Linked DNA regions of Pelodiscus sinensis. The protein of the gene in region 2 purifies or fractionates together with the protein of the main gene of each other region. This does not show direct contact. Links are inferred from orthologs where the notes say so. Each region holds a gene or a part of one and is shown on either strand. Other genes may lie near its edges.

Region 1 (7,675 bases), on a different chromosome or scaffold from region 2:
GGTATAAAGCAGGGCTCGACAAATTATACAATCTACTCGCCTGTGGCAAGTATATTGTAACCCGGATGAGCTGGGTTCCAGCGACCTGCGCATGCGCAGATTGCCGGACAGCGTGGTTCGGCGAGCCCTGGATATAAGGGTACACTGCACACATTTGTTTGTAGAATCTTTTCTTGAATAAAATGAAATAAGATGTTTACTCCAGTAAAACAGACTGCATGTAGAAAGCAAGGATTTGAATAAAAAATATCAATTAACTTCTACGAAATGAAAGGTTAGAGTATTAAGCATTTCAAAATAACTTCAATAGATGTAATCATATGAGCAGAAAAATAACTTTCCAAACTGTTATTCAAGCATAAAACAGTTAATCAATGCATAGTTATACTTACTAAGTTTGTTTAGCTCCTGGCGGATTGTCTGACATTCCTGAGTCTCGTTTACAAGTCTCTCCTGACTTTGAGCCAGACGCTTTTCCACTTCAAAATACTGTTGTTCTGTACAACACCAACACATTATGTTAACATTACTTCATAATTAGTTTTTATTAGGGAACCATATCTACCAGAAAAATGCCAGAAATAATCCTTTCACTCCTGCTCCAGGCTCTACTGAAAACTTTAAGTGCAGTGCTACATTGCTAACTAAAGGTAGGACCTCTCTGCCAGATGCAGTCCCAGTGGTTGGGAGTGGGGGTCAGCCAGGACTCCAGAGGCAGAGTGGCCAACTGCTGGGAGTAGAGGCTGTCCGGGGCCAAAAGTGGACAGCCTCCACTGTCCCCCTAGGAATCTCAGTCTGGATTGAGCACTTGCTCTGGCTGGGGATAGCTCACGGGCCAGGAGACTGAGACCCCTGTTCTACAAACATCAGTATCTTTAATGTCATTTTACAAAGCAATAGAGTCACAGGGAAGTATCTTGCCCAAGGTTACCCACTGAGAGAGCCAGATATTAAATCCAGGTCTCCTGGTCCCACTCCTCCGTTCTAGACATTAAGATATGTTGCCTTTCCAACTGAGCCCAGGGTGATAGCAGTGATTTTATTGGTTAACTGGCCCTTGCCAGTGAACTCTGAGCTGGAGCAGCCCCAGTTGCAGAGAAGCCAGCAGGCTGAACAATGGGACCCCACAACATAAGTTATGGCGGCAGGACATAAGTTAAAACAGTTAAGTGCTAGTGTTTAACCAGTTAACTGATTTAACATCCCTAGGTGATAAAATCATATATAATCAATGTCATTGTCTCAAAAAAAATCTTAAGAGTTTAAGCAGGGAAGAGAGATAGGATAGCTCAGTGGTTTGAGCATTGGCCTGCTAAACCCAGGGCTGTGAACTCAATCCTTGAAAGGGCCATGTAGGGATCTGGGGCACATCTATCAGGGATGGTACTTGGGTCCTGCCCTGAGGGTAGGGGACTGAACTTGATCTCTCAAGGTCCCTTCCAGTTATATGAAATAGGTATATCTCCATATAATGCCAGAAGGAACTACCTTATAGTCCCAAAGCCTGGGTTGGATTACAGCACTCAGGAAGCCAAAGTGTTGCATAGGTGATAATTCAATCACCCTTTCAAAGTTTTGTTTCCAGCAACTGCAGATCATTCAGAAAGGTTAAAGTTTCAAAAACTGAGTTTACTGGAAGTGTTGCCGGATTGGGCTCCCTCAGAATATGTCTAGATTGAAAAAATAAAAAAACACCAAAACACAGCTGTTGAGTCTCAGAACCTGGGTTTATAAAACCAGACTCATACTATAGCATTAAAAATAGACGTATAGAAGTTCCCACTAGAACGTGGGCTCTGAAATCAATGCCCTCCTTAGGGCTCAGACCCAAAATGGGAATAGCTAAAACAAAAAACAGGACTATGTAGCACTTTAAAGACTAACAAGATGGTTTATTAGGTGATGAGCTTTCATGGGCCAGACCCACTTCCTCAGATCAATTTGCAGAAGATTGATCTGAGGAAGTGGGTCTGGCCCACAAAAGCTCATCACCTAATAAACTATCTCGTTAGTCTTTAAAGTGCTACATAGTCCTGTTTTTTGTTTTAGCTAGACCAGACTAACATGGCTGCATCTCTATCACTATTCCCAAATGGGAATATCTTCATAACTATTTTTAGTTCTGGGACACAAAGTGTGTAGACCCGGGCTCACAGAACCACTGTAGCAATGTTCTTTTTTGCAGTGTAGACCAAACAAAGCTCTTATACTCTTCCTCAAGCAACAGCCTAACTTAGGGAACAGATAGAGAATCTCACTCAATAAGTACATTCCCTTTCATTTTCAATTAATTTTAGGCGTTTAATGTAAAGCAATAACTTGTAACTTCACGCGAAGAGCAGCCTCTTATTGAGTTCTGCAAATATTGTTGACCAAGGCCTAAGTGGAGAAGGAGGGTTTAAAAGTCAAAGGAATCCACTTCCTAGAACACGTGTAATGCTCCCTCAGTGCCGCTACACAGCAGTGAAAGCCGTGGGGGACGTTTATACGCCTCTGTCCGCACCAGGAGAGCTGCCCACAGCGTTGCCTCTCGCGCTACCCCTTTGCTGCCAGGGTCTGTCACTAGCCAGTGGCCGCTGTCACAACTCGACACTCGGTTCCTGGTGCATTTCCGTGGCGGGCGGGAGAACCGTCCGCCCAAGCCCGGGGGCCGGCCCCCCTGCCTGGCAGCAGACTCAGGCCTGGTCCCAGGGACAGCAGCGTATCAACGTCTCCCCGGGCCCGGCTCCCGCCACTCACCGCTGTCCACTTTGAAGCGTTCGTGCCGGGCCCGGAGCCCGTCGATCTCGGTCTGCTGGTCGGCCAGGAAGCGCTCCAGCTTCCCCTGCACCGGCTTGGGCAGCTTGGCCAGCTCGGCCCGCTCCAGGACCTGCTGCAGCACCGCCGCCATCTTGGGAGGGAGCCGCTAACCTCGCTACCGCCTCCCGAGCAGCGCGCAGCCAGAGCTCGCCTCCCCGGCTCGCACAGAGCGCGCACAGTAGCCAACCGACCGCAGGCGCCACCGGAAGCGGAACTCGTGTGCGAAAGCTTCCGCAAGTCGCGTCCTGTCCGCCATGATGGGCGAGGCACTGCGGCCCGGGTGGGCAAGAAAGAGGCGCAGCGACCTCTGCCACACAGCACATGGCGGGCCCCGATGGGCGGCAACAACCAGCGCCCGACCTCCGGCGCTGAGAGTTTTCTCTCCTCGAATCATAGAACCTGAAAGAGACCTGAGGCGCAGTGATCCTACGTCATCAACCTGCGCCTTGAGAGCGGAGCGCAGCGCAGCCTGGTGATGTGCATCTGTGGGGACACCAGTAAGCTGTGGCCCTGGCTGGGAGGCTGACCTTGGTGGGGGAGGGGAAGCGTGTCTGAAGGCGCCGGGGGCCTGGCCGCGCGGAGGGGGAGAGCTGGTGGGGCAGAGGGAACATGGCCCCGGTCGGAGGTGCTGGCTCGCCGCCCGCGCGGGGGCTGCCCGAACGAGTGGATTCCGCCTGCTTGCACCTTGCAAGTCCTGGCGCCTGCCACGTCGCCTCTCAGCTCTTTGGTGTAGATCTCGCTCTCTCGCTCTCTCTCTCTTGATTTTACTGTGTCCCTTTGGAGTCGGGATGTAAGTGACTAGTTCACTGCCCGATAAGCCTAGGCTCCACTGGTACTCGACTGTCCTCCCCACCCCCCACCGCCTGATACAGAGTAGCAAAGGGAGGGGGGAAAGCTGGTGCTGAAGGGAGCTTAAAATCCAGTCCCCCCCAGCGCCCTCTCTGGTGTGGGGTGGGGGAGGAGAGACAGAGTCACAGTGGTCTGGAAGATGGGACTGCTCAGTTCCAGCTTTCACTGGGTCTCGGACTGCTGCACCTCTACCTTGTAAATGTAGTAGGGAGCCACCCAGCTCTTATTACATTTAAAAGGCAAAGCTGCAGCGGGGGTGGGTCTGGGACATGGCCTGAGCTGGGACTGCTCAGTCCCTCTTGCGCCAGGTCTGGGACGGTGCCCCTTATCAACTAATTGTGTGTTGATATAAATTGTGTCGACTATATGATTAGTCAATTACCTGCTTCTTAACATCCTTAGTTTGGAAGGAGTGAGTCAAATAGATTGAAGGATATGAGCCTGGCCGCCAGGGGAGAGAGAATCCCCCTATGCCCACCTCCTACATCTTGTGTTCAGGGATTTTTTAAAACAAACAAAACCCTGCAAATGGAAGGTGTAAGACAGGCCTGTTTGACAGACTTTTGTGGCTTAAAAAGCAAATCATGTCTGAAGAAGGGAATGAGCATGTTTAAAGAATGCAGTTATTGTGGACTGAGCCAGGACTAGTCTTTCATTTTTTTCTAGGCAGCAGTTATTTGCAGGTGATGTGATTATAGGCTAGAGATGGGAGTCTGACTGAGAATTGTGAATTCATGAGACAATAATTGGAGGTGAACATTAAGAGTTGAAGGTTGTTTCATAGGTCATTTGTAAATTATCGTTTCAAGACTTTAAATGAAGATATTTTATTTGATATGTCAGTTTCACAGTTATCACATTTAAAATACCTCTTTTTCATACAAGTATGTTAAGAATATACTTACCTATTCAGAGAGAGACTTTTAGAACTCAGTAAAATTATCAGTAACATATTAATATGCTCAGGGTGTTTTTCTGACACTTTATTTCTGTGTTCTTACTCTCCTATACCTTATGTTCTCGGACTAAGTACCTCTAAAAAGTAGATTAATATATTCTCTTTTTATAGATGGAAATTAGGCTAAACCTGCAGTAATGGGAAGAAGCTATTTTGTGGAAGAACCTGTTGGACAGTATCTTTCAGACTTCAGCACCAAGCCAAAGACTTGTGTCACAGGCTTGTTGATAGGACAGGTAACTGTTTAAATTGCTATATGAAAGTGAATAGGCTTTTGTGATGTGAATGTAACTCAGATTAACATGTTCATATAGGGCTTATTATCTATATTCAGCTGTAAAACCTTTTAAGTAGCCGATAGGCCCTGGGCAAGAGTGCAGCCCCAGAGGGGCTGGGGCAGAGAGGCTGGCGATGGGGAGCAGGGCTGAAGGAGAGCCTTGATCTCCCTGGGTCCGGCAAACTCCGAGGTTTGGGACTGCCCAGGTCACGAGGGTGCCCAACCAGAGAAGTCCCACCTGTAGAAGTTTCATGTGTGTTAAGGTGTTAGTAGAAATGAGATTGTGAAGATCATTTTAGTGTCACTTCTTTTATATATTTGTGAATGATTAACATAGCAAAATATGTTACCATTTTAATTTCTTCCTTTTTTGCCATTCCCAAAATTGATAATCTGTATTTTCATTGTTACCTTGTACTATTTGTATTGATTTTTTTCTCTGCCACAACCACGGGCTCCTGCAGAGCTGCCTCCCCCCTCCTCCCCCAGCACTGCTGCCTCTGAGGCAGTGAAGAAGGGGCAGGGAGTAGCAGGTGGGAGCCAGTGCTTGCGGTGCTTAAAAGATGGCTCCCTGCGAGTACTGGCTCCCGCCTGCTACTCCTGCATGTAAATGTGTAACTAATGAAAAATTTAACGGTTACACATTTACAGAATTAAATGTCTCAGAGGGGTAGCCATGTTGGTCTGTAACTGAAAATAATAATAATAGAAAAAACCAATGAATGGTCCTGCAGAACCTTAGAGACTAACAAAACATGTAGATAGTATCATGAGCTTTTGTGGGCACAACCCACTTCTTCAGATGAATGGAGCACGGGGTCCAGAGGTACAAATAAATGGCTAAATGCAGTGATGTTTTGCTAACATCCCTACTCAAAGCTGGGTTCTTGACTAGCTTATGATGGTGCTGACATCCTAATGCTTTTTATTTTGTCTTTTTAAGTTTGTGGGAAAATGGTATATTGGTTCTAGGGTAGATCTATATTGGTATAATGGGCTTTGACTGCAACTCATGTGGTCATACCCAAGCTTTAATTTAGCTAGCTCATGTACCAGAGCAGTGAAACTGACACTTAGGCTTTAGCAAAGGCTGACCACCCTACACATTTTCCACTCTGCTATGGCTTCACTGATGTGGTAGCTGAGTTAGCTAGGTTTAAGCTCAGGCATACCCACAGGGGTTACAGTTACACCCGATGATTGCAGCGCAGACGTATCTTTAATGCAAGGAATGTGTTTAGTTGAGCAATGGTATCCACTTCCTACTTTTTTTTTATGAATTGTGTTTTGAACAGCCTTTCAGCTAACTAGCTGAAGTGCTGAAAGATCAGGAAACTAAAGCACCGGTTCTCAAATTTTTTGGCCCATGGACTACCTGGCTCAATGCAAACCTTTCTGTAGACCACCAATTGCTAATGGAAACTCACTTGTAATTACATAAGTAACCCTGAGCCATTTTGCAAGTGCTGCAGCTAAAGAGAATGGTTTAATTTAAATTATTAAACAGATTAAGCATTTTAACTTTCTCATGTTAGTTTATCAAGCTTCATTTTAAATCAAGTAAAATATTAATTTATGTCCAACACATAATGTGTTCTTTGTGTATGGCAGGGGTGGGGAACCTTTTTAGGGTCAGAGACCACTGACCCACAGAAAAATCAGCTGAGGACCACACAAATAAAAAAGCAAAAAAAACTCCTTCCAAAGCCCCCAACCCACACTGATGTGGCCCGCAACTGAGACAACTCACTCCATTGGTGCTCCAACCCCATGGAGCGAGGGGAAGGGACAGCGAGGATTGAGGTTCAGGGCTTCCCATAGGCTAGATTTACTTTTCTGGGGTTCCAGAATTAGTAGGTTTTGTGGAAACCTAAGGCTCTGGGGTGGGGGCAAAAATGAGAGGTGCAGTGCATGGGACAGGGCTGCCAGTGAGTGGGATAGGGATGGGGATGCTGGATCGGGGTGGGAGTGAGAGGGCTGGATGGGAGGTAGAAGCAGGCTGGGGGTAGGGTGTCTGGACAGGGGGAGGAAGCAAGAGCAAGGGAGGGTGCAGGAGCAAGGGAAGATGTAGGAGAAAGCTGGGGGTGCAGGGTCTTGGTGGGGGGAGAGAAGCAAGTGAGGGGAATTGCAGTGCAGGGGTCTTAGTATGAGGGGACATGCTTACCTGACTTTGTGCCCCATTGCAGTGGGGAAAGCCTCTGGGTAGCACATCATTGTGTTGCCCGCTCCTTCCTGGCCAGCGAGTGGCTCCTGGGCTCCCGACTGCCATGACTTTCCAGTTTGTTCGTTATGCTTATAAGAAGCACACGGGATCTTTTTCAGGGAAAAGGCAATACACCGTGTTTATTGAGAATACAGCAGAGAAGCAGTTAGCATATGCTTTATAAGGACACATGCAGATGCATACGCACGCACGTCCTGCAGATGGTGCATAGTTACTGGTCCATGGTGGCTCAAGTCAGTTTTACTGGCCAGGCAAAGCTGACTGAGTGAGGAGTTGGGGTTCTTCTGAGGCTTGTCTTGCAGGACTGAACCCAGAGTCCCATGGTAAGAGCTTCCCTTCTTATACATGTAAATTCCCAGTTAGGTCTATAGATATTTCAGTAGGTGTGTCTAGACTACGTGTCTCCATCGAAGGAGCCATGTAGATTTGTTTAGTCGGCAAAGGGAAATGAAGCGGCAGCCATTTAAATTTAAATGAAGCAGCAATTATTTAAATCGCTGCTTCATTTCCCTTTGCCTACAACCCTAATCTATGTAGTCTAGACATGCCCAAAGTCATGCTCCTGTCA
Region 2 (7,069 bases):
TCAGTCAGAGACCATATCAATGTGAGGGTTTTTTGTTTTTGCTTATCACGCGTGTGGCCCCCCAACCTATTTTTCTGAGGGTCTGAAAACCCCCAAAAAGGTTCCCCACCCATGCATCACAGCATCTTAAGAAATCCTTAAGATATCACAGGGAATGTCCACTTAGTCCACTAAATTTACCAAGGCTAAGAGATAATTCCTGTTAAAGAAGCCTGAAATATTTACCTGAGATTTAATAGCTAGAGGACTAAGGCTAAACCTACTAAACAGAGGCGGATAGTGAAGATGAGCATGCATACGAAGGGAAACTCACCATAAGGGATCTAGGAAGGTATTAGTACATCAGCCTTTGGCTAGAATATATCTGCTTTATCTGATATTTCATCCCTCACTGAAAGAAAAAGAACTTTCTATATCTGCTCTCTAATTACACAAGTCTGCTAATTGCTTGGGGGAGGGGAACAGGGAGAAGTATTCTCTGCTCCTCAACCATTTCCTCAATTTGTTTTGTGGTTCCCTCCTACTCAATACATAATTCCAGTGCATGAAGGCAAATCTAAAAGCAAACCAGCATGGAACTGACATGATTCCTGTCAAATTCCCTGCTGCTCTTTGGAATAGCGAAAAGGGTCAGCATCTTGTTAGTTTTATTCTGTTGTAGTCAGAGAGCTACCAGCAACAGCAGACATGTTGGGCTCCTTTACTCTCAGTGTCAAATTTTTAAAGTACACATTAATGTAACTTGTGACTTCAAATGTGTATTAAATTAAAGGAATAAGTTTTGCAATATTCTTCAACTGACAATTCAATTTTTGGAAAGTCTTCATTTACTGAACCCCAAATCAAGAAAAGTTAACTGTGGCATGAAGCAATCACAACTTTTATACCTTTTAAAACAGGACAGAAAAAAAGCTTGACAGAAAAAGGATACTAGAAACTCTTTTTTTAGAGCTCTGTTTCCGAGCAGGCCTGGTCACCTCTATATCTGGTGAGGATGACATTTCTCCAAATTCATTCCTACAAAACAGGAACACAGTTGCTACAGTTAAACACATTCAGATGACGTTTCCTAAAAGAATCAGAAGTGTAGCAAGTAACTGGATGGTACTAAATACAAAACCCAATTAAAAAAAGAAACTAACAACAAAAACTTAAAACTGAAATACCAAATACTAATATCTATCCAGAAATAGCCTTTATTGAAAAAAAAAGTCTTGTGGAATACTGGATTCTCATAATGCTGTGGAAGCTACAACCATTAGTCAGAATACTTTTGAGAATGTTGTGCAAGAGCCTTAATATGCTACATTTATGCAAAGGATTTGTTTAATCTATTTCTTATGTAAATATGTTCCATATTAGAAGCTACAGACAGAACACTTGGTAACTTCAGTTGTTTTAGACTAGGGATGTAAAATCCTAACCAGTTGGTTAACTGTTAAACATAATGTTTAACTGCTTACCCCTTTTAAGGTGGGACCACTCCAGCCTGTCTGCAAACCTTGTGTGTAACCGCTGAAATTTTCAGCAGTTACACAGTTACTTAATTACACGCATTTTAACAATTCTAGTGCACATAAAATTCATTCCACACATACGTGAAAAAAATTAGAAGGAAGTGCGTGCTATTATAAATTTGTAGGGCAGACCTGCCCTAAGCTGCCGTGAACCCTTTCTGTAATGTTATTTTAAATCAGATGCTAGCCTTTTCCATAGTCAAAATTAGACTGGCAAAAGTGAATATTTGCCTGAAATTCCAAATCCTGCTAATCTTCCAGTGTTAGATTTTTCTCTGGGAGAACGAGGAGTACAGGCTCTTTCAAAAGGTTCCCCCCACACTCCCAAAAGAACCGCCTCTAGACGGTGCTTTCACTTTCAAAAAACCCTTTTTCAAAAAAGCACTCAGACACCATTATGCAAATGAAGTGCAGGATATTTAAATTCCCACTTCATTTGCACTTTTGATTTGCCTAAATTACATACCTCTTTCGACAGAGGGATGTAGATTAGACATACCCATACAGAGGTAATATGTCCTCTGTGCTCCTACTTGGTATCCCCCCTACAAGGACTGCATTTGCCCTTTTAAATAAATTAAAAACACATTAAAATGTTCAATTAATTATCACTTATGATTCTTAAGTCCTCTCAGAGTCCCTGATTTCCAGAACACAAATCCCAATTTTTCTAGTGTGACCTATACCCTTGGTCCTAAATATAAGACATTGCATTTAGCTGTATTAAAACATGTAACAAGATGCAAAGACTTGAAGTTGAAACAAGACAAATTCAGAGTAGAAATATCTCCATTGTTAAAAAAAGTGAGTGGTATGTGACCATCAGAACAATTTACCAAGGAGATTTGTGCACAAAACAGCCACAGATAGTTGAATCTGCACCATGGAAGATTTAAAAATCAAGACTGGCTATTCCTCATCAAAAAGACATGCTCTAGCTCGACGGGAGCCACTGGCCTGGCAGCAGCAAGAATTACTGTGAAGAAGTGTCAGAGGTAGTTTAAGTCTAACTTGCCTGGACACTCATTAATGGATCTCAAAGTCACCATATTATTTCAAACCAATTTCAAAAGCCAGCTCAAGAGCAGAGCTACAAAACTTATTTTCATTTACAAGTTTGATTCTTACCACGTTCCACATCCTAATGATAAAAACCAAACAAAGGGTACTTAAAATGAGTACTAAATACTCTTACCAGCTTCATGCAGCATGGACACTCTAATTGTCAATTCCTCCCTCCCTTTTTTCTCCTCCTCTCCCCCCCCCATTCCCTTCTCTGTGCTGTTTGAAAACTAGACCCACCCCTTAAACTCCACTGAGCTGTGCGCCCGATAGCTCATGACACCTCCCACATGTTTTGACAGGCGCTAAGGTGCTGCAGGACGCTAGGTTGTTTTTGGAGAAGCCCTGCGGCCCGAGTGACGCGGGAGGGCAGGCAGAGGAGCACAGCAGCCCTTTCCGCTCGGGCCTGGTCAAACCCCCCCCCCCCCGCCCGCATTCACCGCTCTGCCCGGCCCCGCTCCTTACGGCTCCGGCTCTATTTGCCGCCACTCCCGAGAGAGCCGCAGGGGGGCGGGTCTCTCTGCAAGGGCCCCAAGAGCCTATTCCCGCCGCTCGAGAGCCTCAGGGGAGCGCCAGGCCGCGGAGCCGGTGGGGGGAGGGGAGACTTGGGGGTCCCGGCTCGGGCCTTGGCTCCCTCCGGGCCAGGCCGGCCACTATCCCGAGCCCCGCTAGGCTGCCGCGCTCACCTCTCCATGGCCCGGACCCGGAAGCGCGTGCGTTCCTCGAACCGGAAGTTGAACGAGGCCGCCCGATTTGACGGGGAAAGGGCGCGCTTACATTGCGCAGGCGCGTGGCGGCTGCCCGGAGCTCGCAGCCCAAAGGGATCGAGGAAGGCAGCGCGCGCCGCCGCGCTGGGATTGCGCGCGCAGTCCTGCCGCAGAGATCCTGGCGCCTGCTGCTCTCACAGCCCCGCCGGCTTCCCCTCCGCCGCGTGGGAGCTGCCCGCTCGCCAGGCTCTCGGGCTTGCCTGGGCAAGGCGCGCTCCTGTTGGTTTCAGCACAGGACCTGATCTTGGATGAATGATTCCCTGCGAATGCTCGGGCCATGTGGACACTGGGAGATAAGGGAGACTCTATGATGGTCGGTCTCTGGTCACCGGTTCTGCAAAGTCCAGAGGTCCGCGTGCTCGCCGTGGGGAAGATTTGGATGTAGTCGGAACTACCTGCCCCCGTCAGGGACTCCGCCGTCCACTCGGAGCACGATGCACCGTGTAGCTTTGTATTCTGGTCTCTGCTCTGGGTGCCCGCTGTGATCAAAACTGTGCAACTGGTGGTTATGGGTTGATGTCAGCATCCCATCATAGGCTTGTCTAGTCCCTGCCCATGAGATCAGGGCGAAGCAGTCTGTTCCCACCTTTTTCTGCACTGATTTCCCATGCAGATGCCATAGCAGTGCGAGCATGGTTTACAACAAACCATAGTGATGCTGATGTGTGCCGTGGGGCACCTAATGATGTGCGCAGTAATGGCAGATTGGCCACCTGGTTTCCTTGGAGTGCGGCCAACAGTAGTGGCAGTTTCTCAGCTCCTAGCTTTCACTCAACTGCTTCTCTTTGGCCTTTGAGGGAAGCATGAGACAAGGTGCTGGGAGCAGCCCTTCGTTATCCTTTTGCACAGGTGGAATGAAGGTTTTTTTTTCCATAAGCAGTGAAAATAACGTTTCTTATTTACTGTTGTGTCCCCTGAGGAGGGGCTCAGGGCAGAGGAAAGGGGGAGGTGTGATATGACAATGCTCCTAAGAATTGAAAGTGGGGTGCAGTGTAGGGGGCTCAGCAGGCGGTGGCACTGTTGTGGAAGATAGCAGGAGCTTGGGGCAGGGGGAGGAGGCTGGTTGTGAGAGGGTCCAGGAGTCAGGGTTGGAGGATGTGGGGGATGCAGAAGTCAGGGCAATGGGGGTAGGGGGAGGAGAGTGTAGGTGTGATTACAGGGGGGTCAATGGCACTGAGGCATATCTCCCAAAGGATTGCTATGGCCTGGGGAAGGTCAGTGTCAAGGTCTCAATCCTATAAAAACATTCAAAATGGCCAGTGTCTCAGAGCTGGTGACAACCAATGTCCTGAAGAAAAGGTTAGGAAGGGCCTACAGAAACTAGAAGTTATTGCCAGACCATAGGAATTATTGCTGGGGGCTCAAGTCAATCAGGCTATGACCAGATACAGGATAGTATGCACTGGAATTACAGAATGTAAATGTGGCTGCACTGCTAGAGATGGGTTCAGGTAATAAGTGGATTAGAGATGTAAGCAACTAGTCGAGTCACTACTCCACTAGTTGCTTCCTCCCCCCTTGCTGCCTCTATATGAGGCGGGGGGGAAGAAGGGAGGCCAGGGGGGGGAAGAACAGGAACCAGTGCTGGGGGGAGCTGGCTTAAAAACCGTCTCCCCGCAGTACCATCTATGGGGGGGAGCAAGGGGGGCGGAGGCGAATCGGGGAAAACAGCAAGTGCGGGGACTCAAGTAGTGCCCACTTGCACCGGGTCTGACTGCTGCACTTCAGCCTTTTAAGTGTAGCAAGAACCCCATACTGCCTGAGTTCCCACTTGCCCCAAGTTCCCCACTGCCCCTCTGCCTTTTAAATGTAGCAAGAGTCCCTCGGGGCTCTTGCTACGTTTAAAAAGTGGAGGCGCAGTAGTTGGAACCCTCTACTGTACCTCTGCCTTTAGATGTAGTAAGAACCCTGCAGAGCTTTTGCTACATTTAAAAGGCAATGGCGCAGCTGGGATTGCAAGCGCCCCCTCCTCCCCCCATTGCTTATCAACCAATTGAGTACTCGGAAAATCCACTGAGTACTAGATTAGCTGATTAGTCAAAATGTAATATCCCTACAGTGGATAAATGACACTTAGTTCAAAAGAAGAGAAAGTCATCTTTGCACCTTCTGAAGCAGCAAAAAAAGCAGGCAAATAGATTTCTTGCTAGTCTGAATGAGCTAGAGGAGGAGGTTATGGATTGTAAATTTATGTTGAGCAAAATGATCACATCCCAACACAAGCCACTGGTACAGTTTCAACTGACAAATGGTCCTGGCATGATCTTTGTGCCAGTGAGACATGAACAAGGATACAGAGACTGTGTGGGGTACTGTTGATAAGTTTAGGGAAAGAGCGGAAAGGTTTGAGGCAAAAGGTACACAAATTGTAACAGCAGAATTAGAGTGGTCTATCTAAGAATGTTTTGATCTGAAGTTAAACAGCTGGGGAGACCAGTGTCTCATGAAAAAATAGTTTAACAAGCAAAGAAAAAAGACCTCTTTGGAAGAACACATGGCCACATATAGAACTTCCAAGCAAGCAGCCAGTCAGGAACCCTAAATTTAGATAAGCTCTATGAGATCAACAACTACTCTCAAAAAAAATATGCAGTCATATGAACAAGGAAAAAAAAAGGAAGGAAGGGAGGGAACATACCATTCATAAATATAGGGAGCAGACCTCTTGTGATAGAAGACTTGTAAGTAACAGTGAAAACACTGTGATATACTTAAGATATGCTACACTACCGTAATGTGAACCAATTATTATGGATGTTGATCTCTGAGATGTCCAGGCTGCAGTGCAGATGATGTTACCTGGAAAAGCAACAGGACTCAACAAAGTCACAACAGAAACCATCAGAGCCTTGAGAGAGGTTGGCAAATGCTGATTCATGTGAGTCCTGTATGCAAATTGAAGAGAGAAGAAAATCCCAACAGAGTGGAGACTAATTGGTACTAATGTACAAATAAAAATGTGACACATAGGGCCAGAGTACCAAGGAATTAAGCTATCATCCCACTGCATGAAACTGTCCAAAAGAGCCAAATAGTTGAGTGCTTTAGTTTTAGAAAAGTAAAAATTACGATAGATGGTGTAGTCATTGCTAGACAGCTGGTCGAAAAGAAGCTGGAGGGAAACATAGCATGGCTGGGTTTGCCTCAATTGGGGGAACACGTCCAAGAAAGCACCTGAGTTGGCTGTTGGTGCCACTGCTACAATGCAATGGGGATAGTAGCGGATTTTGTCCATATGGTGATGGGTCTACTCCTAGGGGTTACAGAACTCAATGGCCTTTTCTTTATAACGGACAGACAAAGATGCTTGCAGAGTTTTTAAAACTATTAAGTCTAAAATGAAAATCCCAACAGAGTGGAAAATTATAAATAATGTAAAACAAATTATTATGGTAAGGGCTGGTGGCCACACAAGAATGGACTTCATTGTGCTAGACTCTGTACAGACACAGAATTTTGTTTGTGAGCTGGGATTTAAAGTATGGATATGAATATATACCCCTTTTCCACCCAAGAAGTTACCAGTTATTACAAGTTGTAAACTCTGTTAACCCCTCCCCCCCTTCTATTTTATCAACAACTCATTATGAAACCAAGTGAGCATTTCTGCAAGATATGAATACCTAAGAGTAATAATTCACATCTTAGTCTTCAGTTGGGGGCTAGAAAGCATTTTACAAATAAAGCCTCAAACACCTATGTGAGATAAGTAGACAAACCAAA

The links. The genes of interacting proteins can lie anywhere in the genome.
Region 1: the proteins of NUP107 (region 2) and TPR fractionate together in Homo sapiens (co-fractionation; 4 studies listed by BioGRID and IntAct, with this or other methods). This does not show direct contact. The link is inferred for Pelodiscus sinensis from reciprocal best matches to the Homo sapiens genes NUP107 and TPR.

Annotation. Positions count from the first base shown.
Region 1 is NC_134719.1:54,932,190-54,939,864, reverse strand, and holds the start of TPR (nucleoprotein TPR), read right to left. Parts: upstream 3,004-7,675; 5' UTR 2,891-3,003; coding exon 2,740-2,890; intron 498-2,739; coding exon 393-497; intron 1-392. Other genes in the region: ODR4 (protein odr-4 homolog), read left to right, coding at 4,744-4,842.
Region 2 is NC_134711.1:63,435,180-63,442,248, reverse strand, and holds the start of NUP107 (nuclear pore complex protein Nup107), read right to left. Parts: upstream 3,014-7,069; 5' UTR 2,858-3,013; coding exon 2,820-2,857; intron 2,503-2,819; exon of another isoform or gene 2,354-2,502; intron 1,018-2,353; coding exon 932-1,017; exon of another isoform or gene 888-931; intron 1-887. UniProt on the Homo sapiens protein: Plays a role in the nuclear pore complex (NPC) assembly and/or maintenance. Required for the assembly of peripheral proteins into the NPC. May anchor NUP62 to the NPC. Involved in nephrogenesis.